Caenorhabditis elegans: one gene and its partner. The protein of the gene in region 2 purifies or fractionates together with the protein of the main gene of each other region. This does not show direct contact. Each region holds a gene or a part of one and is shown on either strand. Other genes may lie near its edges. The genes, in order: hxk-3 and pole-3.

What was found.
Region 1: the proteins of pole-3 (region 2) and hxk-3 fractionate together in Caenorhabditis elegans (co-fractionation; one large-scale study listed by BioGRID). This does not show direct contact.

The regions. Positions count from the first base shown.
Region 1 is NC_003282.8:1,494,189-1,511,110, reverse strand, and holds hxk-3 (Phosphotransferase), read right to left. Parts: upstream 11,250-16,922; 5' UTR 11,236-11,249; coding exon 11,058-11,235; intron 10,273-11,057; coding exon 10,127-10,272; intron 8,941-10,126; coding exon 8,865-8,940; intron 8,801-8,864; coding exon 8,661-8,800; intron 7,701-8,660; coding exon 7,591-7,700; intron 5,007-7,590; coding exon 4,889-5,006; intron 4,760-4,888; coding exon 4,686-4,759; intron 4,168-4,685; coding exon 4,093-4,167; intron 3,861-4,092; coding exon 3,780-3,860; intron 2,895-3,779; coding exon 2,755-2,894; intron 2,411-2,754; exon of another isoform or gene 2,186-2,410; intron 1,803-2,185; coding exon 1,666-1,802; intron 1,517-1,665; coding exon 1,436-1,516; 3' UTR 1,149-1,435; downstream 1-1,148. Other genes in the region: txt-4 (Fungal lipase-type domain-containing protein), read right to left, coding at 347-401, 456-547; npp-20 (Protein SEC13 homolog), read left to right, coding at 15,104-15,151, 15,221-15,295, 15,385-15,506, 16,167-16,481.
Region 2 is NC_003281.10:6,456,421-6,471,871, forward strand, and holds pole-3 (DNA polymerase epsilon subunit 3), read right to left. Parts: upstream 6,437-15,451; 5' UTR 6,428-6,436; coding exon 6,161-6,427; intron 6,118-6,160; coding exon 5,988-6,117; intron 5,934-5,987; coding exon 5,917-5,933; 3' UTR 5,796-5,916; downstream 1-5,795. Other genes in the region: jhdm-1 (JmjC domain-containing histone demethylation protein 1), read left to right, coding at 1-154, 996-1,040, 1,105-1,881, 1,933-2,125, 2,182-2,591, 2,640-2,851, 2,900-2,984; algn-1 (Chitobiosyldiphosphodolichol beta-mannosyltransferase), read left to right, coding at 3,707-3,741, 3,786-3,941, 4,055-4,244, 4,292-4,419, 4,749-4,901, 4,949-5,762; dlc-1 (Dynein light chain 1, cytoplasmic), read right to left, coding at 6,795-6,972, 7,253-7,344; nduf-2.2 (Complex I-49kD), read left to right, coding at 8,804-8,920, 8,965-9,098, 9,142-9,316, 9,362-9,482, 9,536-9,847, 9,910-10,069, 10,115-10,390, 10,594-10,723; T26A5.2 (ANK_REP_REGION domain-containing protein), read left to right, coding at 10,917-11,252, 11,804-12,253, 12,298-12,477, 12,530-12,736, 13,228-13,489, 13,539-13,651, 13,696-13,823, 13,879-14,314 and 3 more; wht-6 (ABC transporter domain-containing protein), read left to right, coding at 15,350-15,451.

The DNA of each region.
Region 1 (16,922 bases), on a different chromosome or scaffold from region 2:
TTCAGAGTTTTAAATGTTCACACTATTAATTTGTATAAAATTTAATTTTCACCAACTTTTCCTCTTGGCAAAAAAAATGTGAAACCCCTGAAATAACAAGTTATACATATTTTTAGGATTTTCCAAAAAAAAAGTTATAACTATAGTGCTCTCCACTTTGAGTACAAATATCTCGGATCACAGTAACTTTTGGATTTATGTGCAAGAGAAAAACTTGATCAGCTTATTTTTTTTCGACGATTGGCACAAAATTTGCAACTTTTTGAAAAAAAAGTTTCTCAAACATTTTCCAAAAAAAAAAATCAAACATTTTTTCCAAATTTTTTCAACCTTAAAATAATCTTACCGTAATCGAGTTCAAACACACCGGACTATTACACATTTTTGTATCGGCACAATAACTAAAAGAAAAATCAATAAACTACCGTACTACCTCCTCCTGCAATACAACTCACTGATTTCCAGAATTCAGGCACTCCTCACATGTCTGCAAAGCTTGGCACACAGCCAATAAGGCAATTGTGGAGAAAATGAGAGATTTGAGCATTTTTTTAAGTAAAATTACCTGGAAAAAATGGGGAAATTTGAGAAAAAAAAAACTATAAAAATTGGGGGTAAAGGTTGTTGATTTTTCCGCGAAACTGATAAGAAACACGTGTAATGCTCGGTTTTATGGAAATTTTTATCAGCTAATGATCATGAACGCAATAAATGTTAACGCAAGAAACACAAAAATTTTAAATTATTTTTTTCAATAAACAAAAATTTTATACAAAATCATAAAACATTTTACGATGAACATTTTTTTCTCTTCCGCCAATGTCCAAAAGAAAGTCTGGTAGATTTTAATTTTTTTTTTCAATTTTTGACCAAAAGCTGTATTTTTAAAAATTCCAAAAATACGGGAAAATCCTATAAAGTCCTTCTTTTTTCTTTCATAAAACTGTTCAGAATTGTTAAATCTACCAGAAAATACCAAACAAAGTATGCTAGCTAGTACGGAACATACTTTAAAAAATTCCAATATTTGCCCAAACGCTGAAAATTGAAAAAAATAAAATAAAAACGTTTTTTTTTCAAAAATTTATTTTTTTCTTTTTTTTTCATTTTTTAAATTATATTTTGTTATATCAAAAAATGTGTTCTAAAAAAATCTTTATTTTTAAACAATACTTGAATTTAAAAAATCTCATACAGCTTTACATTTTTAAAGAATTACATTTACAAACACACACACAAAAATGACAAAAAACTTGATTTTTCGAGGGGGGGTTATGGCGGGGAAAACAGAAAAAAAATTCGATGTGTTATCTCTTTCTAAATACAAAGGATGGGGCAAAAAATGTCAGGATTCTTGAGAAAAATCCGAAAATTCTCAGAAAAAATATTTAAAAAAAACGTGCCTATACTGATGATGGGGAAAATTTTCAGATTTTTAGAGCTTCAGGCGTTCGGCAACGGCGGCAATTAGAGCGGCTCCTTGACAACTTCCTTCGTCGGCAGGTACGAGTTCGAACTGAAATTTTTTTATTAATTTGAAACCATTATTTTTTTTATTCGGTAAAAAATTTTTTGAAAAAAAAATTCCAAAAAAAGAAATTTTCAGAAATTTTTTTTCGAATTTTCAAAACTTGCAATTTTTTAAAATTCTCATAAAATTCCTACTTTCATGGTAATCGGCGTGAGCTCTTCGAGCTTCTCCTTTAGCATTTGATGATAGGTTGGATGGAATTGAATAAGAGCGCCACCTACACCAATTTTCACGGAAGACAGTTCCAGGTGACGGAGCAGAGCGCTGATGGCTGGAAATTTGGAAAATTGTGATAGATTAGAGTTATTAAAATGTGAAAAGAGACAGATTTTTGAGAAAAAAAATTATTTGTGAATTTTCAAAAAAAAAAATGTTATTCAATTTTTTTTTTCAAATTATTTTTAAACGTTTAATTTTCTTAATTTAAAAAAAATTAATTACATTGAATTTTAAACTAATCAACAAAGCGAAATTTTACGCTGAAAAACTTTTTCTTTCGCATTTTTAAATTTTTAAAATTTTAGAAAATGTCAGATTTTTGGAATTTTGTAATTTTTGGATGTCTGAACGTTTTGGACAATTAAAACTTTTTAGAAGTTTGGAATTTTTGGAATTTTGAACTTTAAAAATGTTTTTTAGATTTTTGAAATTTTGGAAAACTTCAACTTTTCAAAAATTAAAAATGTTTGGAAACTTTGAAATTTTTAGAATTTCGGAATTTTTGAACAATTCAGATTTTTTTTAAACTTTTGAGACATTTGAAATTTTCTGGAATTTTTTAGTTTTGTAACATTTGGAAAATTTTCAGAATTTTCAGAACTTTTCTGGAAAAATTTGATTTTTTTGGAAATTTTTTAGTTTCGGAATTTTTCAGAATTTATAAAAATTGGAATTTTAGTACTTTGTAATTTTTTAATTATTGGAAATTCTAAATTTTTAGAATTTTTTTTAGAAATAAAATTCGAACTGCTTGGATTTTTTTTTTGAATTTTTGGAATTCCGAACGTTTTGGAAATTTTTGAATTTTGGAAAATTTGAACTTTTTGGAAAATTTAAAATTTTTTTGAATTTAATAAATTTCAGCGTTTTGGGAAAAATGGAAATTTTTTAGAATTTAGGAAATTTTGAAATTTTTTTGAAAATTTGAATTTTTGGAAAATTTAAACTTTCAGAAATTTCGAAATTTGTAGAATTCGAAATTTCAGATCAAAATTTTCAGTTACCTGCGGCAACAATACTGGCTCCTCGTCTAGAGATGACGTCACACACTTCTCGTATTATAATATAATCTCCAGTTCCGTGCATTTCAACTTCAAGCTCTTCACAAATACGTCGACACGCCTTGAATACACCTTCTTCTTCACTGAAAATTGGAAAATTTTATTTTCAAATCTCTGCACTGCAACTTTTTCCTCACGAGGGACGAGGAAAAGTGGTTTCTAGGCCATGGCCGAGGGGCCGACAAGTTTCAGCGGCCATTTATCTTGCTTTGTTTTTCGCCTGTTTTCTTTCGTTTTTCACTGATTTTTTTCGTTTTTTCTTAATAAAACTGATAAATAAATATTTTTTGCAGATGCTAAAACAATTTCCAAGTAAAAAATTATGTATTCAGTGGGCAAGTAGCGGTGAAAGTAAGCATTGTAATATGATGGATTACGGGAATACAAAACATAAACTTTTTTTTTTTTTTTTTTTTGAAAACCTCAAAAATTTTTCAGCGGTCCCGTTATGAAAATCAAGTAATTTCAGCATCTAAGCAGCATATGTATCGTGTTTCAAAAAAAGTTTAGGTTTTGTATTCCCGTAATCCATCATTTTACATTGCCCACTTTCACCGCTTCTTGCCCACTGAATACATGATTTTTTTACTTGGAAATTGTTTTAGCATCTGCAAAAAATATTTATTTATCAGTTTTATTAAGAAAAAACGAAAAAAATCGATGAAAAACGAAAGAAAACAGGCGGAAAACAATACAAGATAAATGGCCGCTGAAACTTGTCGGCCCCTCGGCCATGGCCTAGAAACCACTTTTCCTCGTCCCTCGTGAGGAAAAAGTTGCAGTGTTCAGTAATTATTTCAGATCGAATTTTTTAATCGAAATTTAAATTTTCAGCTTAAACTTGAATTTTTACTCATTCTTAGAATTTTCCAGTCAAGATTTGAATTTTCAACTGTAAATTCGATGCTTTAATTTGGATTTTCGACAAAAAATTTTCAATTTTCTGCTCAAAATTCATCTAAACTCACCCCAAAATCTCTGAAATATATTTTGTCGGGAATGACTCGTCTTCGTCCAATTTTTCACACGATTGTCCTTCGAATAGAACTCTGAAAAATCAAATTAAAAAAAAAATAGTATAGCATTAATTTCTTCGTAACTTTATACTTTTTGCAAAAATCATAAATTATACATATTTCACATGCCTTCATTTAAAAAGCTAAAAGCTAAAATTTTTGTTTTTTTTTGTATTTTTGAGCATATTTTTGCTCTTTTGTGACTTTTCGTAAATTTTCCAAAATTTAATTTTTAATACTAAAAGTTTGACTTTTTTTCACTTACCTATCCAAAACCAGTTGAGAAAGTACTCGTCGCACAACTTCACCAATGTACAGGGCTCCGCACAATTTATCGATTCTGCAAAATTCCAGATTTTACACTAAAAACAAAAAAAAAATGAAAATTTGGGCATAGCTTCCGCATCTCCAGTGACAAGTGTGCTCTATTGCACAAATTGTTGGTTGGAATACGGTATTTATTGCATATTTCAGCCGAGAATACCACTATTCAAACCATCAATTCGGATAGAGAAACACACAAGTCACAGAAAATATACAGGGAAATTCAGTTCAGATGCCGAGTTGCCGTACCTAAATTTACAGCATTCCCCGGCAACTGGGATGGAAAAAGCCGAAAAAATTCAATAATAAGCCACTTTTCAAATAATCGCTGAATTCTAAGTAAAACATGTTGATTTTCAGTATATTTATCAGATTTAAAAAAAAAAGTGAGATTGTGTTAGTTTAATATGTGAAACTTCTAATTTTCCCAATTTTTCGGTTAAATATTGGCTGTTCCTTCGTTTTTCCAGATTTCCTTTGTGATTTTTCGTGTATTTTCATAATTTCGGTGATTTTCAGAGAACATCAACTTACAGCTGTTTTCCTTTGTGCACACTGGCGGCGTCGACTTCCCGATCAAATTGTGTCAGAATATCGTCGAGTTCACCCTGAACATTTTAATTTTTGGATATCGAAAAAGTTAAGATTCTTCTCTTCTAGCTTAAAATTTCTTCGATTTTCTCGTAATTTTTCACAAAAAAATCTAGAATTTTCCGCTTTTTTCCCCATTTTCTTACATGTTTTCCAAATTCCTCCCATTCTGTGACGACAATCATGTTATCATGATCGTAACCGCGAGCTTTTGCGTCGAATTTCGTGATTCGGGACGTTTTTTCCAGATATGACGAGTTGCACCTGGAAAATTGGTTTTTTTTGGCATAAGGAGAAATATGCGAAAAGTCAGATTTTCGGTTTAAAATAAGTTAAAATTTGAAAAAAAACAGAGGCAAAAGCCCAAAAACTTAGTGGTTCCATCGAAGACTTTTTTGTTTCAACTTTAACTATTTTCTCGAAAAACCGGCACCCTTGGTACCTACAGTACCCCAACACTATAATTGCAGAGTTTCAAAAAATTTAGCAGATTAGCAGATAATTTTGCCGAAAATTAACATTTCCGGCAAATCGGCAAACCGGCAATTGCCGCCCACCCCTGAGTAGGAGTACTGTTTTCATAACGAACATTCGTTTCAATCTACTCGAGCATTAATGGGAAATACATTGAATAATGTTGAATACCGTATATTCTCTATTAGTTTTGCACCTCTAATAGTTTTGCACCCCTTCATTTGTTCCCTATTTTTAATAATTTAAAATTTGCATTATAAAATCGTTTTACAAATCAGGAAAATTCTTACAGACTTAGTATAACAAGTCTGTAAGAATTTTCCAGATTTTTCGACGATTTTATATCAGCCTTAAAATTTGTCCATTTTGGTTCACAAGGTGTTACTGAAATTAATGATATTATGCCATAACTTAATGGAAAACATGAGAAAAAAACCAGTTTGAAAATTAGTTTTGCACCCTCTATTAGTTTTGCATCAAATTAGGCGTCCGAAAATTAGTTTTGCACGCCTTACTAATAGAGGATAGGCAATCTATCCCATGCTCACATTTCCCATGCACACATTTCCCATGCTGACACTTTCTCCCGTGCATACAAAATTCCCATGCTTACGCCCAGTAGTTCGAGTACTCCCATGCCTACAATTAATTTTTCTCCTTTTTTTCCGTTCCCATGCTGACATTCCCATACATACATTTTCTCCCGTGCATACAAAATATTCTGATGCTTACATCCAGTAGTCGAAGTACTCCTATGCCTACAACTCATTTTTCCCTTTTTTTTCGTTCCCATGCCGACATTCCCATACATACATTTGTTCCCATACTTACAAAAATGTATTCCCATGCCGACATGGAACAGTTTTGTGCTCCAGAAGAGCACAAAGTCAATTTTTTTGCTCATTTTCATTGTATTAGGCTTACTTGACAGCTTTCAGTTACAACTGATCGCTTTTTTTTTCAAAATGCATTAGTTCTCGATTATGAACAAGGAATCGAAGAAAAATGGGGATGACTGCCTATAGAGTAAAATTTTTTTTTGCTCAAAAAAAATTTTTTTTTTTGAAAATTTTTTTTCTCTCTATTTTGTAGGATATAATTAATTCGGTGAATTCCACAACTTCAAATGTTCATATTGCTGTTTCCGTGCAGTTATGAGTTTCGCAGTGCCTTAGGAACATTTCATTTTTTGTTGTATTTTGTAGGAATTCGGAGCTATCTTATAATTTCTACAAATTAGAAAATCCATTTCGCATTATTTCATGTAACTTGAACCTATTGCTTCAAAAATAGCACAGAACGAATGTTGATTCTGTTTCTTTCATTAAAAAATGTGCTACTGTGCATTTTTTCCCACTTCTACGACTTTAAAGGCGCGCGCATTTATACAAAATGGTCCCGTCATTGGTCTCGCCAGCGCTCAACAAATCAATGGGATGCGCGTGGCGAGATTATTGCGCGAAAATTCGCGCGCCTTTAAAGTCGTAGAAGTGGGAAAAAATGCACAGTAGCACATTTTTTAATGAAAGAAACAGAATCAACATTCGTTCTGTGCTATTTTTGAAGCAATAGGTTCAAGTTACATGAAATAGTACGAAATGGATTTTCTAATTTGTAGAAATTATAAGATAGCTCCGATTTCCTACAAAATGCAACAAAAAATGGAATGTTCCTAAGACACTGCGAAACTCATAACTGCACGGAAACAGCAATATGAACATTTGAAGTTGTGGAATTCACCGAATTAATTATATCCTACAAAATAGAGAGAAAAAAATTTTTCAAAAAAAAAATTTTACTCTATAGGCAGTCATCCCCATTTTTCTTCGATTCCTTGTTCATAATCGAGAACTAATGCATTTTGAAAAAAAAGCGATCAGTTGTAACTGAAAGCTGTCAAGTAAGCCTATTACAATGAAAATGAGCAAAAAAATTGACTTTGTGCTCTTCTGGAGCACAAAACTGTTCCATGTCGGCATGGGAATACATTTTTGTAAGTATGGGAACAAATGTATGTATGGGAATGTCAGCATAGGAACGAAAAAAAATGGAAAAAATGAGGTGTATGCATAGGAGTACTTCGACTACTGGATGTAAGCATGGGAATTTTGTATGCACCGGAAAAAATGTATGTATGAGAATGTCAGCATGGGAACGGAAAAAAGGGAAAAAATGAGTTGTAGGCATGGGAGTACTCGAACTACTGGGCGTAAGCATGGGAATATTTTGTATGCACGGGAGAAAATGTCAGCATGGGAAATGTGTGCATGGGAAATGTGAGCATGGGATAGATTGCCTAGAGGATATACGGTAATAATAAATTGTAATAAAAAAATGGGGGAGCAAAATGTTAGCAACCTAGCAATATCCTTACCCATAACCGATAACCACCCCAATTGTGCATTCTGGACCATATTTGTGTGCGGCAGCAGCCAACTGTCCTACTGTGTCGTTCATCACTGCTTTGATGCTCACTTTTGTGGACTGAAATCGAGTGTTTTTTGTTATTAAACTGTGTTATTACGGGAACTCAAAATTCTCTGAGAATGCGTATTGCACAACATATTTGACGCGCAAAATATCAAACTACAGTAGAATTCTTTAAATGACTACTGTAGCGCTGTTGTGTGTCGATTTACGGGCTTCCTTTGATTTAAATATTCTATCGATAAATAGGTGATTTCACTTTAAAAATGGAGCCCATAAATCGACAAAAGCGTGTTGTGGCACCCGGAGGCGGCGACCGAGCCTTTAAGCCGTAACGAAGAGTGACTCGAGACCGAAGAAAGATTATGTATAGTCTGGAAGGAGCCCTCTGGCAGTGCGGATGAATGCGGTGGTCTTGCTCTCGAGGAGACTTGAATATAGAGCTAGTGACAGAACAAATGTATAAATATATTAATTTATATAGTAATTATAAGAATTACAATAAAAGAGGGAGAGAGGATAAAGTAGGGGGAAGGCCTGGAAACTCCTTGGTTATTGGAGTTTGTCGGGTTCTCCTTGGATATCGGAGCAAGTACATGAATAATAGTGAGGGGCAATTACAAAGGAAAATGGGGGATGCGTCGGGAGAGAAGTGCCACGCACGACCGTTCGGCACGAGCGCAGCATCAAGACTGAAGTGGTGGCGTCCAAAGGCTGCGTATCCTGCCGTCGCTTGAGTCGCCGCGCAGCTAATGTCGGCTCCCCATTCCACAACAAAGCGCTACAGTAGTCATTTAAAGAGCTACTGTAGTTTTCGCTACGAGATAGATATTTTGCGCGTCAAATATGCTGTGCAATACGCATTTTTAAAACTTTTTATTACCGTAAGAAAAATTGCCAAATTTTAAAGCTATTTTTCGTAGAATCGAAAATTTTACGGTTTCCGATTTTAGTGATCACAAAAGGACAAATTTTCAAATTTTTTGATAGTTTTTCAAGAAAAAATCGAATTTTTACCATATTCATCTCGAGAGCCTCTTCCAATAGAGCTACAATATCCCGTTGCAAACAATCCTTAATATCGAACCCTTTAGTCCACCACAAAAGACGTGCCGAACGAATTGACAATAGTTCACATGGATATGAGAATACGAACCCTGAAAAGACATATTTTAATATTTTTTCCAGGAAAATCGGAATTTTCGGTGAAAAAGTTCGTACCAATAGGTAAATTAGCATCAACTAGTCCGAATTCTTGTAGGAATCGTTGGAGGCAATTGACGATGAATGTGAAAAGCTGAAAGTTGAGAAATTTCGCCAATTTTTGCCCGTTTTAGTCGGGGTTTTGAATTGAAACTTTGAAAATTTGGTGTCAGGTTGTTGTCCCATAAGCTCCAAACGGCGGGAAATGTTTTTTTGAAAATTTGTGACGTCACAGATTTTTCAAATTTTCGATATTTGATGATTGATTTGTTTTCTTGCCAAAAAAATTTCAGAAAATTTGAATTTCCCACCAAATGTTTTTTTTCCAGAAAATTTGAAATTCTTGCTAAAAAAAAATTTCAGAAATTTTGAATTTCTGCCAAAAAAATTTATTTTCAGAACTTTTGAATCCAAAATCTTTTTTTTTCAGTAATTCACTGCAACTTTTTCCTCACGAGGGACGAGGAAAAGTGGTTTCTAGGCCATGGCCGAGGGGCCGACAAGTTTCAGCGGCCATTTATCTTGCTTTGTTTTCCGCCTGTTTTCTTTCGCTTTTCATCGATTTTTTCGTTTTTTCTTAATAAAACTGATAAATAAATATTTTTTGCAGATGCTAAAACAATTTCCAAGTGAAAAAATTATGTATTCCAGTGGGCAAGCAGCGGTGAAAGTGGGCATTGTAATATGATGGATTACGGGAATACAAAACCTAAACTTTTTCTGAAACATGATTCATATGATGCTTAGATGCTGAAGATACCTGATTTTCATATCGAGACCGCTGAAAAAGTTTTGAGGTTTTCAAAATTCAACTTTTTGTGCGAAAATCTCGACTTTTTCACCGAAAAAGTTGAATTTTGAAAATCTCAAAACTTTTTCAGCGGTCTTGATATGAAAATCAGGTAATTTCAGCATCTAAGCATCATATGTATCATGTTTCAGAAAAAGTTTAGGTTTTGTATTCCCGTAATCCATCATATTACATTGACCACTTTCACCGCTGCTTGCCCACTGAATACATAATTTTTTAACTTGGAAATTGTTTTAGCATCTGCAAAAAATATTTATTTATCAGTTTTAATAAGAAAAAACGGGAAAAAGCTGTGAAAAACAAAAGAAAACAGGCGAAAAACAAAGCAAGATAAATGGCCGCTGAAACTTGTCGGCCCCTCGGCCATGGCCTAGAAACCACTTTTCCTCGTCCCTCGTGAGGAAAAAGTTGCAGTGTTTTTAGCTGTTTTTTCGGAAATTTTCAAATTTTTCGCACAAATTTTGCTTACCTGATCACCGGTTCCCTTCATAACATGATTAGCTACTATATAATTGACTGTTTCATGCGTGGGCGTCGTTCCGGCTCCGTTCATTGTGAGTAACATTATTCGAAGATTCTTTCCCGACAAATCGATTGCCACGTATTTTCCGGTTTCTGGAATTTTTTGTATGTTTTTGATTTTTCCTTTAAAAATTAAGTTTTCTGAATTTTAGTTTTTTAATTTGTTAAATTTTATAGTATTTTTCAGATTTTTTTTTGACATTTTTAGGAAATTCTTTAAAAATTGAGATTTTAGGCAAATTTTCATGAAAATAATGATTTTTTTCGGAATTACTAAGTAAAATTATTGCATTAACAAATGTTTAGCGATTTTTTTCGCGATTTTCTGTAAAATTTGTCAAACTTCAGTGAATTTTTTAAACTTGCACTAACTTTGTAAGTCTTAACTTAATTTTTCGACTTTTTTCCTGATTTTCAAGGAATTTAATATATTTTTATAATTTTTTACGCAATTTTTTGAATTTTTTTTTCGATTTTCAGCTTTTTTCAATAAAAATCAAAAATAAACAAAATTTCTGAAATTTCACATTTAAATCAATTTTTTTTAGAGTTTTTAATCCACTTCGTAGATTTTTCTATAAAATTACAATTAAAATTAGTTTTTTTTTTCAATTTTACCTATTTTCCATGAAAATTCGTAAAACTTTTGAATCTTCAAAGCAAAATTTGAATTTCTTTGTCGTTTTTAGTAAATTTTCACGATTTTTAATTAATTAAACTAATTAAATTCCAATGGTTTTTTTCTCGATTTTCAGAAATGTTTGATTAATTTTATCAGTTTTGTTTTTTGGGATTTTTCGAAATTGGCTAAAATCGACGATTTTTTATGTTTTTTTTTTAGATTTTTTCATTAAATTTCCATTTTTCTGCATTTTTACCTGTTCCATCTGGCAACGCTGGTACATAACTCGGCAACATTGCAATCGATGAGCCTTGAGTCTTTGCGAGACCCATTTTCATTTGTTGCTCCACTTTTTCGCTGATTTCTTGAAGTTGTTCACGGTTTAAACGGAATTTCGCGAGGATTTCCTCGACTTCTGGTGGTAGAACCTTCATTTTTGTGGAGATTACTGTAAAATTTTGGGATTTAGGAAGGTTTTTTTGAATTTTTTGAGGAAAAATAGGGGGTTTTCTAAGAAAAATTTAATTTCAAAAACCGATTTACAGAGAAAATTGGCAATTTTTTTAGAAAGTTTAAGAAAAATTGACTTTTTTGGAAAAAAAAATTCCGGAAAATTGAATTTTTCGTGATTTTTCAGGATTTCTTGTGGAAAAAAAATATGAGAATTCGTGAAAATTAGGTTTTTTTCTGGAATTTTCGGGGAAAAATAGGATTTTTTTGAAACTTTTCTTTGAAAAAAAAAGTTGTTTTCTACATTATCAGTATTTGTTTTAATGAAAAATAGGTAGTTTTAACAATTTTCAGACAAAAATTTACTATTTTTGTAGAAAGAAAAAATCGAAATTTTTGGTAAAAATGTGCCGGAAAAACTGAATTTCGTCGATTTTTGGAGTTTTTTTTCTGGAATTTTCGAAAAAAAAATTGAATTCTCGTCAGTTTTGTATTTTTCTTTGGAACACTATGCATTTTATTGCATTTTTCAGTGATTTTTCGGTAAAAATAGGGTTTTTTTTCCAAAAAAAAACTTTTATAACCATTTTTAGACAAAAATTGATAATTTTTTAAAGAAACTTTTTTAAAATTTGGCTTCTGTGGAAAAAAAGTGCCGGAATATTGGATTTTTCAGGATTTCCTCGAAATAGTAAGTTTTTTCTGAAATTTTCAAAAAAAAATCGAATATATTTGTTATTTTTGTATTTTTCTTGGGAAAACTGTGTGTTTTATTAGTAATTTTTCGGTAAAAATGCGTAAAATGTCAAGCGAAAACGACGAAAAATTAAAATTTGAATTTCTCGAAATTTTCTGAGAAAAATACGTTTTTTTTCTAGAAATTTCGGGAAAACATTAATTTTTTTTTGAGTTTTTGCAGAAAAATGGTAAAAAATTGCAAAAATTCTACAAAATAGCGAATTTTCACGATTTTCTGTGGAAAAAATTGTTTTCTGAGATTTCCGAAGCTTCTGTTTAAAAAAAAATAATTTTCGTGAAAATATTGATATTTTTGAGTTTTTGCAAAAAAATCGTTAAAAAATTATAAAAATAGCGTGTTTTCAAGATTTCCGGTGCGAAAAAACAATTTTTTAAAAAGAAAAACGTTCAAAATTTGAAAAATGCCTATTTTTCACTGCAACTTTTTCCTCACGAGGGACGAGGAAAAGTGGTTTCTAGGCCATGGCCGAGGGGCCGACAAGTTTCAGCGGCCATTTATCTTGCTTTGTTTTCCGCCTGTTTTCTTTCGTTTTTCATCGATTTTTTTCGTTTTTTCTTAATAAAACTGATAAATAAATATTTTTTGCAGATGCTAAAACAATTTCCATGTAAAAAAATTATGTATTCAGTGGGCAAGCAGCGATGAAAGTGGTCAATGTAAAATAATGGATTACGGGAATACAAAACCTAAACTTTTTCTGAAACATGATACATATGATGCTTAGATGCTGAAATTACCTGATTTTCATAACGAGACCGCTGAAAAAGTTTTGAGGTTTCCACAATTCAACTTTTTTGGTAAAAAAGTCGAGATTTTCGCACAAAAAATTGAATTTTGAAAACCTCAAAACTTTTTCAGCGGTCTCGTTATGAAAATCAGGTAATTTCAGCATTTAAGCAGCATATGTATCATGTTTCAGAAAAAGTTTAGGTTTTGTATTCCCGTAATCCATCATATTGCATTGCCCACTTTCACCGCTACTTGCCGACTGAATACACAATTTTTTAACTTGGAAATTGTTTTAGCATCTGCAAAAAATATTTATTTATCAGTTTTAATAAGAAAAAAACGGGAAAAATCTGTGAAAAAATAAAAGAAAACAGGCGGAAAACAAAGCAAGATAAATGACCGCTGAAACTTGTCGGCCCCTACCACTATTCCTCGTCCCTCGTGAGGAAAAAGTTGCAGTGTTTTTCGGTTAAAAACCTCGAATTTCCGAGATTTGTCGATTTTCTTCGGAAAAACTATGTACTTTAACAAATTTACAGGGATTTTTTTGGAAAATTTCTGGAATTTTCCAACTTTCTCGCAAAAAATTTAAAATTATCGATTTTTTGATAATTTATCTATCAAATCAAGTGGCAGAAAGGAGAAAAACAATAAAAAGGGCAGTCCGCACGTGCAGAATTGAAGAGAAAGAGGACCTCAGCCAGGGTGAGAGAGTGTAGAGGGTGTGGAGACGCAGACACTGAAAGAAGGGGGTTCAGAGATGTGGAGAGTGCAGAGATGTTGGTGTGATGAAGACTTGGCAGTGTGCCAAATGATATTTTTTATGGAATATGATGCAATTGTGCTCTGTTGATAATTTTTGGGGTGGCAGGATTCTTTTGGGGGAAATTATTGATTTTTTTTTTCTTTAAATTTGATTTTTCTATAAAAAAAATTGGATTTTCTATAAGAATTTAGATAAATAATAGTTTTCTTATATTTGCTTTAATGATTTTTCGGCACAAATAACAGATTTTTTCAAAAAAAAATTTTTTTTTACTTTTTGGGGATTTTTATCGGAAATTTGAAAAAAACTGAAACTTACGATTTTGATGCTTCTTGAAACTATTATTTTTCGAAACTTTTTTCAAAAAAATTCTGGAAATTATTGATTTTTGTCCTAAAAATTTTTAAAACCCCGAAATTCTATCGAAAAATAATTCAACATTTTTAGATTTTGCGTGAAAACTCTGTTAGAATATCGACTTTTCTGTCAATTTTCAATTTTTTTCCGCAAAAACTGCCAGAATTTCCTCAAATAGTTCATTTTCGATTGAATTTCCAAATTAATCCGAAAAATCGATAATTTTTTGATTTTTAACTGGATTTTTCGATAGAAACGTTAACTTTGCTGACTTTCTAAAATTTTTACAAAAAAAAACATTTTAAAAAACGTTGGAAAACACATAAAATTCGAGTTTTTCGGCTGGAAATTGGGGAAAACACAAAAAAAAACAAAATGTTCTACAGTAACCTTGAAACTGCGCGTCGGGTTAGATGCATTGATACGCAATTGCGTACAATGCATTTTACTTGCCGCGCACACTTTTTGGAATTATTTTCAGCAAAAATTGCAATTTTTCAAGTATTTCAGCGAAGAAATTGAAAAAAATAAGATAATTGCAAAAATACAAGCGGGTTTTAAAGTTTTCTTTTTAAAAATCTCAAGTTTCTCAATAAAAATATAGAAAACATGTTTTAAAACAGGAATAAGCGAAAAACTATTATAATTTATTGATTTTCGCCTCCAAATCACGCTAGAAAATCAAACTGATGATCATGACAGAAAGAAATGATCGTAAAAATTGCGCTGACGACGTCACGCGACCCGCAATAAGACACACGGAGGCTAAGCACAAAATATAATGTGTTTTTTTTTCATTTGAATCTTTTTTTCAGACTTCAAAGTACGGCGTGTTGATATTGATGATCAGAAGAAAAAATCAAAACAGAAGAAAAAACAAGGACAATATAATTAAGAAAGTTGTTTTTCAGAACTTTGATCTTTTAATCTGTGTTGAAAGGTTCCCTGAGTTGTTTTTGATTTAAAATCTTAAAAAGTAGAACTAGAAATTGTTATTTTTATCAAATTATCAACAATTTCCCATTCGAATTCTCCAGGTTTCCATCAATTATTATTTTCTCGTGATTAAATCCACGTTCCTTGGCGCACGAGAAACACGCCAGCTATCGTTTGCTGGCGCGTTTCTCGTGTTGACGCGTTTCTCGATCGTTCCAACTTGCAATTTTTAAATTCAATTTTTGCCGAAATTCACTCAATTTTTAGCGATTTTTTTCGAAATTTCTAGATTTTCAGCTGAAAAATGACCACGGTCCGCCAGAGAATCGATACACAACATCGTGACGCAATTGTAAGTCGGAAAATCTGAATTTTAGCTAAGAAAATCTATTTTTTTTTTTTAAATTCTGAAAAATTGCAGCACGACGCTCAGCTCAACATCTACGGAAGCCGACTCGCCACGTGTGGATCTGACCGTCTTGTGAAGATTTTTGAGGTCAGGAAAGGCGAAAAATCTTGGATTTTCTGCAAAAATCCCAGAATTTTCATAATTTCAACGCAAAAAAAAATATAAAAATATTACAGGTTCGCCCAAATGGCCAGTCATATCCGATGGCGGAGCTTGTCGGACACAGTGGTCCCGTTTGGAAAGTCTCATGGGCTCATCCGAAATATGGAGGACTTCTTGCCTCCGCTTCCTATGATAAGTACGGAATATTTGGAAAAAAAAACGGAAAAATGATCAAAATTTGCTAGATTCGATCAGAATTTCATAAAAATACGCTAAAATCTCTGTTTTTAATCGGTTTTCAGCTCATTTTTTGGGTTTTTTGCCAAAAATTGGTTAAACAGAGTGATTTTGGAAGAAAATGGACACAAATATTGAAAAATGCAGCCTATTTCTGAAATTTCAATGAGTTTGATCATTTTTCACCGATTTTACGCTATTTTCCCTTTAAATTCACGGATTATTTAAAGAAAAATCAGTATTTTCGGTCAATTTTCACAGTTTTTTTTTGAATTTCAAGCCTAATTTCCCTCAAATCCACCAAAATTTTAAAAACTTCAACGGGTTTTATGAAATTTTTACCGATTTTCTGCAATTTTTTCCCGAATTTTAGTCGATTTCTGCCCCGATTTTTGTAATTTTTATCGATTTTATTCAATTTTCATAGTTTTTTTTTCGGAATTTTGAGCCAATTTACCCCCCAATCCAACGTTTTTTTCTGGAATTTCCATGAATTTCAGTAGTTTTTCACGGGTTTTTTGCAATTTTTAGCTCATTTTGCTCTAATTTCAGGCATTTTTCATCAATTTTCACAGATTTTCAGCCAATTTTCCCCCAAATGAATCGATTTTCTTTCCAGAAAAGTGATAATCTGGAACGAACAACAAGGCCGCTGGCAAAAAGCCTACGAATGGGCCGCTCATGAGGCCAGTACGACTTGTGTGGCCTTTGCACCACACCAATATGGCCTAATGTTGGCTTCTGCCTCTGCTGACGGTGATATCGGTATTCTTCGATACGACAATTCGAGCAACGAATGGATTTCGTCGAAAATTCAGAAATGTCATGAACAAGGAGTTAATTCAGTGTGTTGGGCACCTGGAAGTGCTGATCCGGCGGCAAAAAAACGTCTTGTTTCAGCTGGAAATGATAAAAATGTCAAGATTTGGGCTTTGTGAGTAGAGAAAATGCACTGAAAATCGATTTTTTAGATTTTTTAGATTTTTTTTGACCCGAAAAACGTGAAATTTTGACGTTTTTTCGATGGAAAATACAAAAACCGCAATTTTCTCAGGTTCTCAAAAGTCAGATTTTTTGTAAGCCTAAGCCTAAGCTTAAGCCTACGCCTACGCCTAGGCCTAAGCCTCAAATTGCCAAAACTTCTCGGAAAAAAAGTCGTAAAATTTTACTTTTTTTTCAGCAAAATTGGCAGATTTTATGAAATTTTCCCAAAAAAGTTGTATTTTTGATCCAAAATTTGTTTAAAAATCACAAATTAGTGCAGTTCTTACCGGAAATTTTTGAAAAATTCAAATTTTTCCCTCAAAATTACCTGATTTTTTGCTAAAATCACAAGAATTTCTGAGATTTTTCCCCTGAAAAAGTCAGTTTTTCT
Region 2 (15,451 bases):
TTCTAGGATATCCCCTCGACTTTTGGATGAACTTGAAACTCTTGGCACTTATATTCGTCGAAAAGCACGTGTCGAAGTGGCTGAAGGAATATGCCAGCCAGCGTCTCTCATTAACACATTCCAAACTGTTTTGAAAAAAAGACGTTCTGAATTGGTAAGTCAAAAAGACCGATAAACATTGTTGAAAGTAGTAGATAGTGAGAAGTGAAAGACTGTTGAAACGCCTGCGTCTCTATCGCCCTCTTCATCTCGTTCTGCATGCGTCTCTATGGCCTCAAACTGTCGTATTATTTTGCAGGCTATTGGCATAGTGAGAAAAACTTATCTGATCTAGGTTTTTTTAGGTATAATTGAAAAATTGTTTGATGAGCTGTTATTCTTTTCTGCCCTGAACAAACGTTTATTTCGATAATTTTTAGTTACACTAACACTAAGTTTATTTACATTTAGTGCTCTATTTTTGTGTAAAATTATTGTTAATGTCACTTGCCACATCTAATTGTCACATCCATTGTTACAGCCGGTAATTGTACTGCGAAACGCGCGATTCTAAAAGACGATCGAATGATCTCTTACAGTCTGTTTAATAATTTGCAACCGGGGCACTCATAATTTTGTAAATATCTCGCAAAGATCCATCTGTCTTTTTTTTTCAAATTTCCACTACTTAGTGGCGAATAATGCTAGTTTCCTAATTTTTCAGCCGAACTAAAGTCAATCGACTCATACCACATACACCGACACGTTCAATCTCCTTCACTATCTCACTATTATAATCTCATAATCTGTAAATTTTCTAATAATCCGTTCACAAAAAGATATAACAATTCTAATACTAATTATTAATTTGCGTCGAGAATAAATTCCTTTTTGTGCTGCATTAAAATTTTCAAAATGTTTTTTTTTTTGTAGTTGCCCAAGTCTTCATACTTCTCACTATCGTTTAAAGTGTGCAAATTGTTTTTTTTTTAAATTTTAATTGTTTTGACTTTCAGACAGGGAAGAAATTTGAATTCAACCAGATAATGCCTCGAAGATATGTAAGTTTTTATATTGTTATTATTTCTGAAAATTATTGCAATTGGTTGAAAATCTAACTTTCAGACTCGATCCACCATGGAAACCGGTGAATATGACTTCCAGCCGACGCAAGAAGTACCACAAGAATCTGCGAGAAGAAGCACAAGATTCAAAGTTGATAACTTTCCCGATGAGCTTTTAGAATCGGAAGTGACTGATAAGCCTATTATATTGCCTCAACAACCATCATCAGGACCTCTCGAATATCTTCCTGCACCCAAAGATGAAATTAAAGAGGATATTAATGGTTTTGAAGAAGAATTTGAGGAGGAATATGAAGGAATTGGGCAACGTGATGATCAGGAGGAAGAGGAATACGATGCCGAAGAGCCGGAAGATCAAGAGGAGGAAGAAGAAGATGAATATCAAGCCGAAGAATATACTCCAACTCCAGTTACAAGACGTTCTAGTTCAAGACGTTCAGGTGCTAAAAATGATGAATCAGAAGAAGTGTCAGTAAAGAAGGACAAAAAGGAAAAGATGGAGAAAGTTGAAAAAGACGAGAAGAGAAGGAATTCGAAGAGTAAGAAAGACAAAATTTCGAAGGAAAAGAAGAAGAAGGAGAGAGAACGTATTGAATTGGAAAGTCAACTCGATGCAGAGCTCAGAGCTGCTCATGGAGGAGGATCGAGCAAATCTAAAAAGAAAAAGCCAGAGAAGCCGGCATTTGTTGGTGGACTTCCAACTTCATCTATTCAAATCGATCCAGTTGTTTCAAATCCGTATAACTATGATCCCAGAATGGAGATGATGAAGCTTGGAACTGGACAGCTCAAGTCAGCATACAGAAAAACGAAAAATGTGAGTTTTTATCTGTTTTGTTCATTCAATTTTAATATTAACTATTTTAAGAACGTCGAACTTCATATTGAAAAGAATCTCTACAAGATTGAGCCGAAACGAGGAAGTGAGGAAGGAAGTCAAAGCCGCGAGCAAAGTATGGAACCAGAGCACAGTACTCCAGTTTTCACGACTTTTGATGATATAAATGAAGCAAATAATGATCATTACGATGGACAGAAGCCTCCAACTAAAAGAGCTAAATGTAAGTCTTATTTGAAATTTTCGTACTTAAAATTCAAAAAATCAATTTAATTCCAGATGAGGCAATTAGTGTTGACACATATGAAACTCCATCGTCTTCAAGAAATAAAGAACACAAAGAATATCGTCCCAGTCCGAACGCTGCTCCAACTCCATCACCATCCCATCATCAAAAACCAAAACTTTCATCTCCAGCAATGGTCTCATCGACAAACGAATATCAGTTACGAAAACACATGTCGAGCGAACGGCGAAGCAGTGATGCAGGATCGGCAATGAAAAAGGGCGTATATATGCCTGCAATGTCTCGTCAGGATAAGATGATTGCTGAGGGAGCATCTGCTCCCTCGTCACGTCACTCCTCGATCTCATCTGAACGTCGTCCGAGTTTCATACCTGATTTCAACTCTTCTCGTAATTCATCTATTGATACACCATACACTCCGACTACTGTAACACCTTCAAGAGTAAGATTTTGATGCAATTTTTAGCAAACATTTTTCTTATTTTTTCAGTCTTCTTGGCTCCCGAACACGTCGTCCATTAATCGTCACTCAATTGAAGATGATTCTCCAATAGATGTTGTCAATGATTCATTATCACCAATAAATATAGCCAGCTCGCCGACCTACCCAACTGCAATCACTCCACCACCGGTTACTCTCAGCGATTTGAAGAAGGATATGTCAAATGGACGCAAAAGTCATAGTCAGCATCATGACGATGGGTTCGTATAGTATTAAAGAAATTATATATTATAATTTGTATTATTTAGGCACAAGCACAAGATTCCATCAAAAGAAGCGATTGCAGAGCTGAAGCTTCTCGTCGGAAAACTTAAAGCTATCAATGATTCCTAGTTCTGATCTGCTATTCAACTAAGGAATCGATCGTCGCCTCTTTACATTTTCATTTACAATTATTTTCTTGTTTTTAACAAAAATGTTCTTAATCAACAAGTTCGGGCTCTGTCGCAAAATATAAGCTCTCATTTTCCAACATTTGTTTCTATCTTAATGTCCATTAATATATGGTTTTTGTTGTTATCTCGTGTTATTTTAAGTTCCAGCATTTGCGAAAGTTGTCTGAATTTCTTGAATTAACACATCCATTGTTTTTTCAAGCTACCTCAATTTGCAATGTTATTCAAACACCTATTGCTGTTCATTTTTCATTCCAAATTATCTATCTTTACCCGTTTTTTACTCCTCCCATTTTTCAAAAATAATTTTATCTGCAACGTCGTGGTCTGATGATGATTCTCGTACAGAAATTCTTTTTTGCATCTCAATGTTTCCAACTAATTTCCCGTCGATATCCGTTGTTTTTTATCTATCGTATTTTTTTAAAAACAAATGCCAATACCAATTCACGAGAGCTTTACTTGCCTTGATGAACCGTATCTCTGTATTCATTTTTTGTTTACTTGATCCTTTTCTAGTTTTTTCATTTTAATAAAGCAGACGTTAGAATTTATCGTTTACGGACTGGAAAATAGGTGGAAATTCCTTGTAGTCTATACTTTTGCAATAGGAAATTTCCATAATTCAAGCTTAAAAAATTGAATCTTCATAGGCGTACAATGGCAAAGGAAGACGACGAATCGCCAGACGAGAGGTAAAACAAAAAATTTTTAAAAATTACTGAAAATAACAGTTTAGAAGTGAAGCCGCAGTCGTCGTTCTTGGTGATGTCGGCAGAAGCCCACGAATGTGTAATCACGCAAAAATGCTCGCTGATGAAGGATTTGATGTCAAACTTATTGGATTTTTCGATTCTATTCCAGGAGAACAAATTATGAATCATCCAAGGATAAAGTGAGTTTCAGAAAATTTTTATCTAAAAAATTTGCAAAAAAGTTGTTCCGTTTAAAAAAATAAATTTAGTTACAAATCATCCAAAGAATTTTTCCAAATAAATAAAATTTCAGAATAGTTGGAATCCCGCCACCTCCTGACTTCATGGATTCGTTACCAGCTTTCGTGCAACTTCCACTGAAACTTTTTTGGAACTTTATAACTCTTTTCTTGGCTCTCGCTTTTCAAACAAGCGCCTTTAATTTAAGAATTATTCTTATGCAGAATCCGCCGGCGCTTCCGACGATGATAGTTTGTTTCATGGTAGGATTCTACTGACTACCGTTATAAAATATCAACTTTAATTTCAGTTTTCCATATTCAAATTCGCAAAATTCTCAATTGATTGGCACAATTACATGTATTCAATTCTACAAAATAAATACCAATTGACCGATGATCAAGTTTTTGGAAACGATAAAAAAACCAAAAAAGCCCAGTGAGTATTGGACACCGGCATTGTTCCCCGACGCGAAAAAAAACAGTCGGTACTCGGTCTCCACACGACAAATCTTTGTGAAACGAAGAATGACATACGCCTTTAAAGAGTACTGTAATTTATCCCATGAAAAATATTTTTTACGAAAACTGGAAAAATCACATCAAACTGTTGCAGCAACGAATTTGAAACTATAGTACTCTTCAAAGGCGCATAACCTTTCATATTTAACGAAAACTTGTCGTGCCGAGACCGGGCAACGTATTTTAGCCAAAACATTCGCGTCTGTACAATAAATCAAACTCGTATTGAACAATTTACATTTTCAGAATTGTGAGATGTGTTGGATTCCTAGAAGGTCTATGTGGAAAACTATCCGATTATAATCTGTGTGTAACAAATGCCATGCGTCGAGATCTCATGGATCGATGGGGCATCAGAGCCAGCACATTCTATGATAGGCCGCCGACGTGGAAATTTAGGTTTGAACAAATGTGAAATTTCTGAAAATTAATCTCGAAATTTTCAGAGACACAACAATACAAGAGATCCATGATTTGTATCTAAGACTTTCACAAAAGGAACGAATTCTACAAGGAAAAGACGAAGACTCCACAATTCTGACTCATAAATCTTCGAACGGAGTAGTGCAGCTACTAACAACTCGACCCATTGTGTTTCTCTCTTCCACATCCTGGACACCTGATGAACGGTTTGAAATTCTTCTCGATGCGCTGGTTGCATATGACAAAACAATCGGACTCCCGCGAGTTTTGATGATTATCACTGGAAAAGGTCCACTGAAAGCGAAATATTTACAAGAAATTCACGAGAAAAATCTGAAGAATGTCGATGTATTGACTCCATGGTTGGAAGCAGAAGATTATCCAAAGATTCTAGCCTCTGCTGACTTAGGAATCTCTTTGCACACAAGCACGTCTGGATTGGATCTTCCGATGAAAGTTGTTGATATGTTTGGAGCTAAAGTTCCAGCATTGGCTCTAAAATTCAAATGTATTGATGAGCTCGTTGAGGAGAAAACTAATGGATATCTTTTCGATGATTCTGAGCAGTTGAGTCGTCAAATTATTGAACTTTCTCGTGGATTCCCAAATAATTGCAATGAATTGATACGGCTCAAGAAGAATACACAGGAGCAAAAATTCGATTCTTGGGAAGTGATGTGGAAGAGATCAGCTACCTCTGGTGCAGACTTTCGAGTTCCAGACAATGGATTCGCCAAACTTCGTGCAATTATTCAATTCTCATTTTTCGCTATTTTATTGATCATGCCGATTCACTTATTTATGGGCACTTTTTCGGGGGCATTCAGATCGCTTTAATTTTTTTTCGGGGTTTTGTACATTCAATAAACTATTGGCCAAAATTGTTTATCAAAGTGAAATGTTAGAGACAAAAGTGGGACACGCGTTGAGAATCGGAATGAGATTTTACAGGAAGGATCGTTTTGAGCAGGAATGAGTTGGTTATGAGTGATCAGTTCATCAATGAATCTGCAATATTATAAATTATTCAGATAAACTTCAGATTTAAAGAATAGAACTAACCATCGACAGGAGTATCGTCAATAATGTCGTCATCCATTTCAGCATTGACAGAGCTGGATTCAACTGGATTTTTACGAGCGAGAGCCTTCTGCTGACTAATAACTTTCCATTTATCGTTGGCGGACTTGCACTGGAAATTTTAATTTCTTAACTCTTTCGAAACCCATAATTACATGATTGTGAATAGAAGTATTCTCAAGCTCTCGGAGTCCTTTGACAACATCATCTCCTGAGATCGTCTTGTGCTTCTGATCGCGAGCAGATTGAGCCGAAACGTCGGACAAGTTTATGAGAAACACTGCTGCAGCACGAGCGATGACGTCTCGAGCATCTTTTGATGCAGAAATATTGTCTTCTTTCATGAGCCGAGTCACAATTGCTGCTGGCATCATCATTTGAGCAATTCGATCATCGTTTTGATCCACATCGTTTGATGACATTTCTATCTTAAATTATTGCCTTGTTCAGTTTCGAGTATAAAAATGAAGCACAGATAATTAAGGGATTTAAAGCTATCCTTTTATTTTTACTTTTAGTGCGAGCACTTTTCGAGAACAAAAATATTATGAGTTCTCTTTTCTCTCAAAAACGGACAACGTAAGAAGATTTATGGGTGATGGAGGAAGATTCAAAGAAAATGAACAGTTTGAGCTAAATAAATAGAATGCGACGAAGGAAAATGTTTTTTGGGAGGAAAAGGAAGATTTAACAAGAGTGCACACTGAAGATCCTACGCCACCTAAGGTACACGTAGGATCAGGTCACAATTTAAAGATCATTGAATGTTTTTTAAGAACAGGATGGGATTTATCCAGACTTGAATAGCAGGATGGCGACCTGTCCAAGGTAGAAGTAGATAAAGTGCTTAGTCTCGTGGGTCACGTAGCTTCCAAAGTTTCTTCCGACGATGCAATGCCAGGTTGGGTTGTATTTCTTGTCGAACTCCTTCTTGATGTAAGCGGCAATATCCTTCTCGATGTTGTATCTGAAAAAAAAATGTTTTGATTTTATTTTTTAGACTTTCATCGCTTCGCTTTTTTCTTGCACAAGGATCAGATTTGTTCGATCAGCTGGTCGCTCCTGCTCGCCCCCTCCCCTAGACTCGGGCTGCCGTCCACTTTAGTTTAAATCAAGGGACCGATGAGCCGTTCCAAACAGCTAAACGACATTTCTTTACACTTTTTCTCTACTAAGCGACCAAGTGTTGTTCATGGCAATCGAATTATTCAAGCGTTTAAAATGCAATGAGAAAGCTCATAACTCACTTCTCGAGGGCCTGGGTGGCGCAGTCGATGGCGTCCTGTTGCATGTCATCGGACATGTCGGCATTCTTGATCACAGCCTTGCGGTCAACCATTTTGAACGGATTTGGCTGCAAAAAATACAAAATTAAATTAATTGAACACCGGGTACTCGGTAGTAGTTATAATAACGGTTGTGAATGCGGAATGCGGAGGTCAAAGAGATAGATAAGGATAATGGAAGAACGGCAAGGTAATTATTTGAGCGACCCAATTTATGACACGAAACAGGAGTATGTTAGTACGAATAAGGCTCTTCAGAGTATTAAAAATATAATTTGCAAAGCTCGGAGGCACTTGAGTACAGAGTATTTGCGCCCGCAACATGAAAAACTTTTGACGTGAATTGTTTAAATCTGAACAGTTTAGAAATAATGAAATAGATGAAAGAAGAAGAGTTCCCCAGTTATGTGTCATCGGGAACTTTTTTCAAAAGATATTTCATGTCAACAAACAGGCTACTTTTTCGATAAGAGTACACATCAGATTGTACGCATTTATCAGCAGCAGCATTCGTAAGACAACAGAGAAAAGATATCGAAAGTGGAGGAGAATGAAGTGAGCCAAAAGATAACAGTTTCAAAGAGTGGAGGAATGGGTGGCATTGGGAGACGAAAGAGAAGATGGCTGAGCGAAGCCGAGAGCGAGATAGGCGGGGCGCGTCGCACGCTGCACAGCCGCGTCGCACGCGACCCGGCTGTGTTGGAGTGTGCGACTCGGCTGTCGTCGGGGCAATGCGCGCGCACTCAAATGCAAACAGGCGCGTGCCCGCGTATTTCAAAATGTTTTGGGGTGTTGGTGGGAGCGAGAAGAAGGAGAAAAAAAAGAAAAAGTGAAGGGCGTTGGAAGAAACTGCGAGGTTGTTGTGTGAGACGAGCATGAATGTGTTTATAGACTCTAACTCCTGAATACAATAGACCGGAAAAAGGAAGAGGGTGAATATAAAAGTAATAGATGCATAGAAGATCAATTTGAAACATAGCAAAGCTCTTGGAAAAAACCAAGAGCTTAAAAATATATGATGAACACTTTAAATCTATTTTTAACACTTTTAATCTACTTTTAATCAACTATCGTCAACAAAAATTCCACAATCTCTACTAGCAAAATGTTGTTATCGCTCGAAAAAGCACTGGAAACACTATCTTTGCAAATTCTATGAATAATTGCTTATAAATTCTGGAATTTAGTTATTTCTTTTTAGAGAAAGTGTGTTTTTTTGGGAAAATAAAGGGCGTTTGAGAAAGATTAAAAAGCCCAAAGATTCAAGTAGGAAATTTTTTTACGAATACTCTTATTTTGAAAAATTCGGAATTTTTCGAAAGTTAAACATTTTGCTAAGCGCTACCTTAATCTTTGAATAGCCTAAAGGCGCAAGGAGCAAGTCTCGAGTAGGGTCCCGCAACGATTGAAAGCGACTACGGTAGTATTTGAAATTAGCAATATTTGTTTTACACGTTTTCTCCTTGAATTTTCAAGTTTAACTGTAAATTATTACTGTAAATTTGTTCAGAGATGCTTTCGCGATCATTGCATCCTCTTCGAGCGGTAGCATGCGCCAGGCCAGCTATTTCTAATCGTGATTCTCACACAATTTGGTATCCTGACGCTAAATTCGAACGTCAATTCAAGGTATTACTGTTTGCATATACTTTAATGCATTTTCACGATTTCAGACTGGCGGAACTCTTGGGAAACTTTGGATGTCAGAACGCGTATCCGATTTCGACGATCAAATCGGACTTGACAAATTGGAGAAACTTGCATACAGCGATCCGGTGCTCAGCGACAATTATGAGGGAAAGAAGAGGTTGCTGCAACGTTTTTTTTGCGATTTTTAAATTCTATTTCAGAGAGAAGAATCTGGAAAACATGATTCTCAACTTTGGACCACAGCACCCTGCGGCTCACGGAGTTCTTCGTCTTGTTCTCAAGCTGGAAGGAGAAGTCATCATTAAAGCTATTCCACATATTGGTCTGCTACATCGCGCTACAGAAAAGCTCATTGAGCACAAGACCTACACACAGGTTGAGTCGAAACAAATTTCAATTCGAATTCGAATAAAATTGTAGGCACTCCCGTATTTCGATCGCCTTGACTACGTATCCATGATGTGCAACGAACAAGCTTTCTCTCTGGCAATTGAAAAATTGTTGGGGATTGACGTTCCACCAAGAGCGAAGTATATCAGAAGTGAGCTATATGAATCGAGTATCGCAATTTAACATTTTAAAACATATTTTCAGTTCTTTTCGGCGAACTCACTCGAATTCAAAATCATATTATGGGAATCACCACACACGCCCTCGACGTTGGAGCTATGACCCCATTCTTCTGGATGTTCGAAGAACGCGAAAAATTATTCGAATTCTCAGAACGAGTTTCAGGTGCAAGAATGCACGCAAACTATGTTCGTCCAGGCGGAGTCGCATGGGATCTTCCTGTTGGATTAATGGATGATATTTATGATTGGGCTGTGAAGTTTCCCGCTCGTATCGATGAACTGGAGGATATGCTTACAGAAAATCGAATCTGGAAAGCTAGAACAGTTGATATTGGTAAGTGTGACATCATTGAGAGCATAATGAAATCCAATATCTTCTAATTTTCATTATTTTAGGCCTTGTCTCCGCATCCGATGCTCTTAATTGGGGATTCAGTGGTGTGATGGTTCGTGGAAGTGGAATTAAGCAAGATGTTCGAAAAACCGAACCATATGATGCCTATGCCGATATGGAATTCGATGTACCAATCGGAACAAAGGGAGATTGCTATGATCGGTAAAAAATAGAGAGGAAACATTCAATCATTATCTCATTTTTCAGTTATTTGTGTCGCGTAGAAGAAATGAGACAATCGTTGAACATTGTTCATCAATGCCTCAACAAAATGCCAACTGGAGAAATTAAATCCGACGATCACAAAGTGGTGCCACCGAAACGAGCTGAAATGAAAGAGAACATGGAATCGCTTATTCATCACTTTAAATTTTTCACTGAAGGATTCCAAGTACCGCCTGGAGCTACATATGTACCGATTGAGGCTCCAAAGGGAGAATTTGGAGTGTACCTCGTGGCCGATGGAACGGGAAAACCGTATCGGTAAGGGGGTGACTCAGTGTGATAGTATAAAACATACGTGTTTTATATTTATACAATATACTCTATTTTCTGCATTCAAAAAATGATTGTCATCATCAGAACAGTACTGATAGAAATAAAAACTGGAGAACAAAATAGTACAGGGACGTAAAAATAATAGATTTCAATAAACTAAATATGAAAATAGTTTGAATAATTTCCAGATGCTTTATCCGTGCTCCTGGTTTTGCCCATCTTGCCGCAATTCACGACGTATGCTACATGTCTCTAATCGCTGATATTGTTGCTGTTATCGGAACTATGGATATCGTTTTCGGAGAAGTTGATCGATGAATGTGTTTTTTGCTCTTGTAATTTTTGTTTTAGTGTAGCCGATGAATGAATTTTCTTTTTTTTAATTTTGAATGTACGGTTGGTTCGTTTTGGTGGTTTTCGCCAAATTTTCAATATTATTTCTGTTATACTTATCAAATAGTTTTTTTTAAATTTTGCAGTTAATTCTTAAAAATTGGTAATTGGATTTCTCATGGATGCTACGACCAGCAAGCCTCGTGAAAATGATCTTGAACACATGAGTAACGCGTCATCTACGTCGTCTGGAAGATCGTCACGGGCTGAAGTTCTATGGGCGGATGTCTTAAGTCATATTCCATTCGTCAAAAGATTCACAACACCAGATTCTCGAAAAGAGCAAAAAGTTCGAATATTATCGAAAAACGAGGTGGACGAAGAGGATGGTGTACAATTGGAACAATTGATACAAAATCAAGAAGTCATTTTATGTCACTCATCCTCAATGAATTTTCACCAACAGTGCAGAGGGAGTGTCGTCGATTTTGAGTATATAGAGAAAAAAGTCAAGGTTCGACTTGAATTTGAGTTTTGAAAATTGTAAAACGAAAGCTACTGCAAAACATCTTTGCACCTAGAAAGAGTAAATACAAGTTTTTCGGAAAATCTTTCAAAAATTAATTAGCGTCATCGAAACTTTTACAGTACAGAATTAAAAAAACCTTTTTTAGTCAAAACGGAAAAGCGAAAAAAATCTTCCAATTCCAAACAACATCAAAAAAAGTTTTTCAAAATTTAAATTCGAATATTTCAAACATTTGCACTCTAGTTTTTTTTGTAAAAAGCAAAAAATTTACCCATTTATTAAGAAACCATGAGATCATGAGAATGCCTATCATTTTGGCGCGGGAATATCTCGTAGCGAAGGCACCTAAATCTCTCATAAGTTTCTCTGTAAGCGACAGAAATTTTCGATTTTTTCTCTAAAAAGCGTCCGTGTAAAGTTAAATTTTTCTGGGAAAAAATCCCGATTTTTTGTAGATCAAACTGTAATGAGACAGCCTGACACCACCTTCGAAAATCAATTTCATATTACTTTTCCCGAAGAAAACATATTTTCAGGTGACCGTCTCATCGGAATCAGACTTTCCAATCTGGGAAGACACTGATATTTGGATGCAAGCGTTATCAACCCCAACAAGCTCTCTTTATGCAATTGATGCAAATACATCTGTTAATTCAGAACTTATCGAAGATGAATCAGTTGTACAAGAACAAAAAGAACAAATATCAGTGAATATTCAAGATCAATCTGACCTATTTCGATCTATCAACGGCTGGAAATTGATCAGTACAAGGCGTGAACGACATCGTCGAATGTATGATGGAATATGGAAAAATGTGTATTTGACACAACTCGAAATGACTTGCATTGATCCAATTGATACTGAAAAGTTATTACATGTCCAGGAAAGAGCCCCACTGCGTCTGAGTGACGATATTGAAGAATTTGGAGATGTTTTGGTGGATGTAATCAAAAAGAAAACCGACACAAAGAACAATGTTTTTACGGTACTGATGAATGATTTTTCACTAAAAAAATCTTTCTTTTCCAGATAACTCTCGGTCTTACCGGCTTTGCTCGATTCCATGCAGAAATTCAATTATCGAAAGAATCCACATATTACTTGAATTTCGATGATGGTTATGAAGATGACTTGGCGAGTCTTGCAAGTGAAGAAGACATTCTTTCTGGCTACCAAACTATTCAAAATGTTGATGAATTATGTGACAAAGTAAGTCTAATTTTAAATACAAGCGAATAATATTTAAACATGACATTTTCAGATCGGTGAACTCACTGTCACTGACGTTTGCATCAAAACGTGGTTTGATATCCTTCACAATTATGCTTACATTCGTCTCATTGTAACATCAGCGAAGAGAAAGCTTCAACACTTTAAGTTGCTCACTGGTCACCATGTAATCATTCAATCTGCTACTAGTGATCGGGATACAGTATTGGCTGTTGTGAGCAGAGTTATGAAAGATGGAGTGAGAATTATTTATACTTTTAACTTGTAATTTTGTAATTTTTAAAACTCGTGCTGATTAAAAATTTACAGACAATTTTCCATGAACAGGAAAAAAAAAGAAAATGCCTGAAAATATTTGAATCATGATGCTAAATCCAAAGACGTGAAAGTTGGCAATTTTTGCGCCAAACCCGGTCTCGACACAACAAATTTTTGTTTAATGTAAAACGGTGTGCGTCTTTAATGACTAAATACTGTAGTTTAAATGTTTCGTTATTGTGGTCATCAATTTTTATATTTTCACAATAAAAAATATAAAAAATTATTTATTCGAAAACCAAAGTATTACTTTAAAAATGTTTTTTAACTAATAAAAAATTATTCTTCTGCTGTTCTTCTACAACGAAAATTTGAAATTACCGTAATCTTAAAAGACGCACACTTTTTAGTTATTATTTTTTAAATGGACTTATTTATTACAAAATCCTAATTTATATTTTTTATTTTCAGATTGTGCTTACCTTACAAGGAGTTAAAAAACAAACAAAAAATTTTGTATTCTCCAAAAACGAATTGTTCACTATTCAAATCGACCATAATTATGAGGATCGTCTACAAAAACTCACTGGAAAAGAGGAAGAGCATGAAAATCTTCGACGTGAGCTTATAAACTCTGATTCGGATATTCGATTGCATCGATCCTGGAAATCCAATGGTAAACAATATGCTACATTTACAAGCAAGAATGATGCATTTAAGAAGATTCCTTTTAGTAAGAACTTCCTTTTTTATTATTTTTCATAAAAGTTTCATCCTTGCAGATACAAAATTTCTACTTGGAAAGTGCTGGGAAGCCGAAGGAGTTCTCGAAAAGAAAGCGGATTTCATTTTTGCTATCCGAGTGGCCGACAAAAATTTCAGCACTCCTTCGACGGTATAAAATTGTATCACGAAATAACAACATTAACCCAAGGAAAGTGTTTTCAGATGACGTTCGAAATAAAATTCACAAGAAATCTTGTGCGAAACTCGAAGGATTTTGAACTTTCCAAAGCCTTCTACTATGTAGATTTCGATTTGGCCCATTTTGTTGAAAGTGATCATTGGTAAGGAGATAATTTATCGTACGGTTTCGAATTTTCTAACAAAGAATAATTACAGCTACTCGCTCTTGAACGCTAAAAGTGTGAATGGGAAACCCGATGAAACTGTTGTCAAATCGTGTCCGATAGACGAAGATTTAGTATTCTCAGTATTTCCATTTCAATGTGGTAGAAGAGCAGAAGAGAGACGTCGAGGATATCAAGAATCACAGAGAGAAGTACAATCTTCCACGAAAAAGCCAGACGTAAAAGTAGAAAAGAATGTAAAACTTGAAGCCCCAGAGAAGCAGAACAAGAGAAAAGATACAGCACTTAACCCAAAGGAGAAATATTGTGCGCAAAAGTTGGAGAAACAACTGAATGATCAGACGAAGACTCCAAAGCAAAAGCCTAAGCAAGAAACTTCGGCAGGAATAAAACGTGAATCAACGCAGAGGCCGTGTGTAATACCTAGAACATTTGAAACTTCAAATTCCAAAGATGCTTCAAACAAGGTTCCATTGCAGTCGGTTAGCGAGCCGAAGATTTTGTTGCAGGATACAAACTCACGTTGTGCTCAACCACGAAAAGCTGTTTCTCATGAAGGGCTGAAATCGCATCAGCAAGAGAATGTTCTGAAACATCTCGACAATAAGCACAAGTTTCTGTGTTTTGTGAATATTGCCAAGCGAATTGAAAACGGTTGGTTTTATATGGTTAATTTAACAACAAAAAACTAAATCTCACTAAGTTACAGATAATGGTAATCCATTGGTTGAGCTGTCTATCGGATTCGATGAAAACGGTGGAAAAGTGCAACAATCTCCATGGCCCCTCGGTATTCGAATGTTATTGACTGATGGTTTGGAGAAAACGGAAGTCAAGATTCAAGGAGATGTCCAGGATACGAATGGGGTAACTTTTTTCCTCCCAATCTTTTAAATATTTTGTATTTCAGGAGACAGTTACTTTCATGATTCAACAACAACTTTCCGATCTGGACTTTCTGAATAGTTACAAACCAAAAAAACTCCTCGCCTGCTTCCGAGAACACGGCCACAATCTTAAATAAATAATTTTTAATTTTTATAAAATTTTAAAATTCATTTTGTGAAATGTCAAAAATACTGTGTTTTAGTATATTTTATCACCCCATTCTGCATTTTTGCATTCCCACATCTACTTGTTCTTGCCTCTCCCCCTTCATCGTTACTATGTAAGTGTATTATTTCCTTCTTCCCCATTGTTTTCTTCATGTTTCCTTTAAACGCCTTTGCATTTCATTTACAAATAGGATATTTGGAGTTTTCCGATATCATTTGTTTCCCCGAACCACAAGTTAATTTCCAAAAAATGTTTTTTTCTTTTTAAAAAAACTTCACGTTGAGCTTTCCATTCTAAAAAATCATAAAAATACCGTATGAAAATATTATTTTTTAAAAACACGAACTTGTTCCAAATAATTAATTTTTATCAATTTCCGCAATCTCACCATCAGACAATACCAATTTTGATCATTTCGAAATTCTTTCCTTCCTTATTTTAAAAGAATGTCAGAGGAAATCTCTTATGAAAAAATATTAGAGGACGTTGAATGCACTGCAGTTTCACCTGGCTACAGTACTTTGGGTGATATTGTTCCCGTCTCGTTG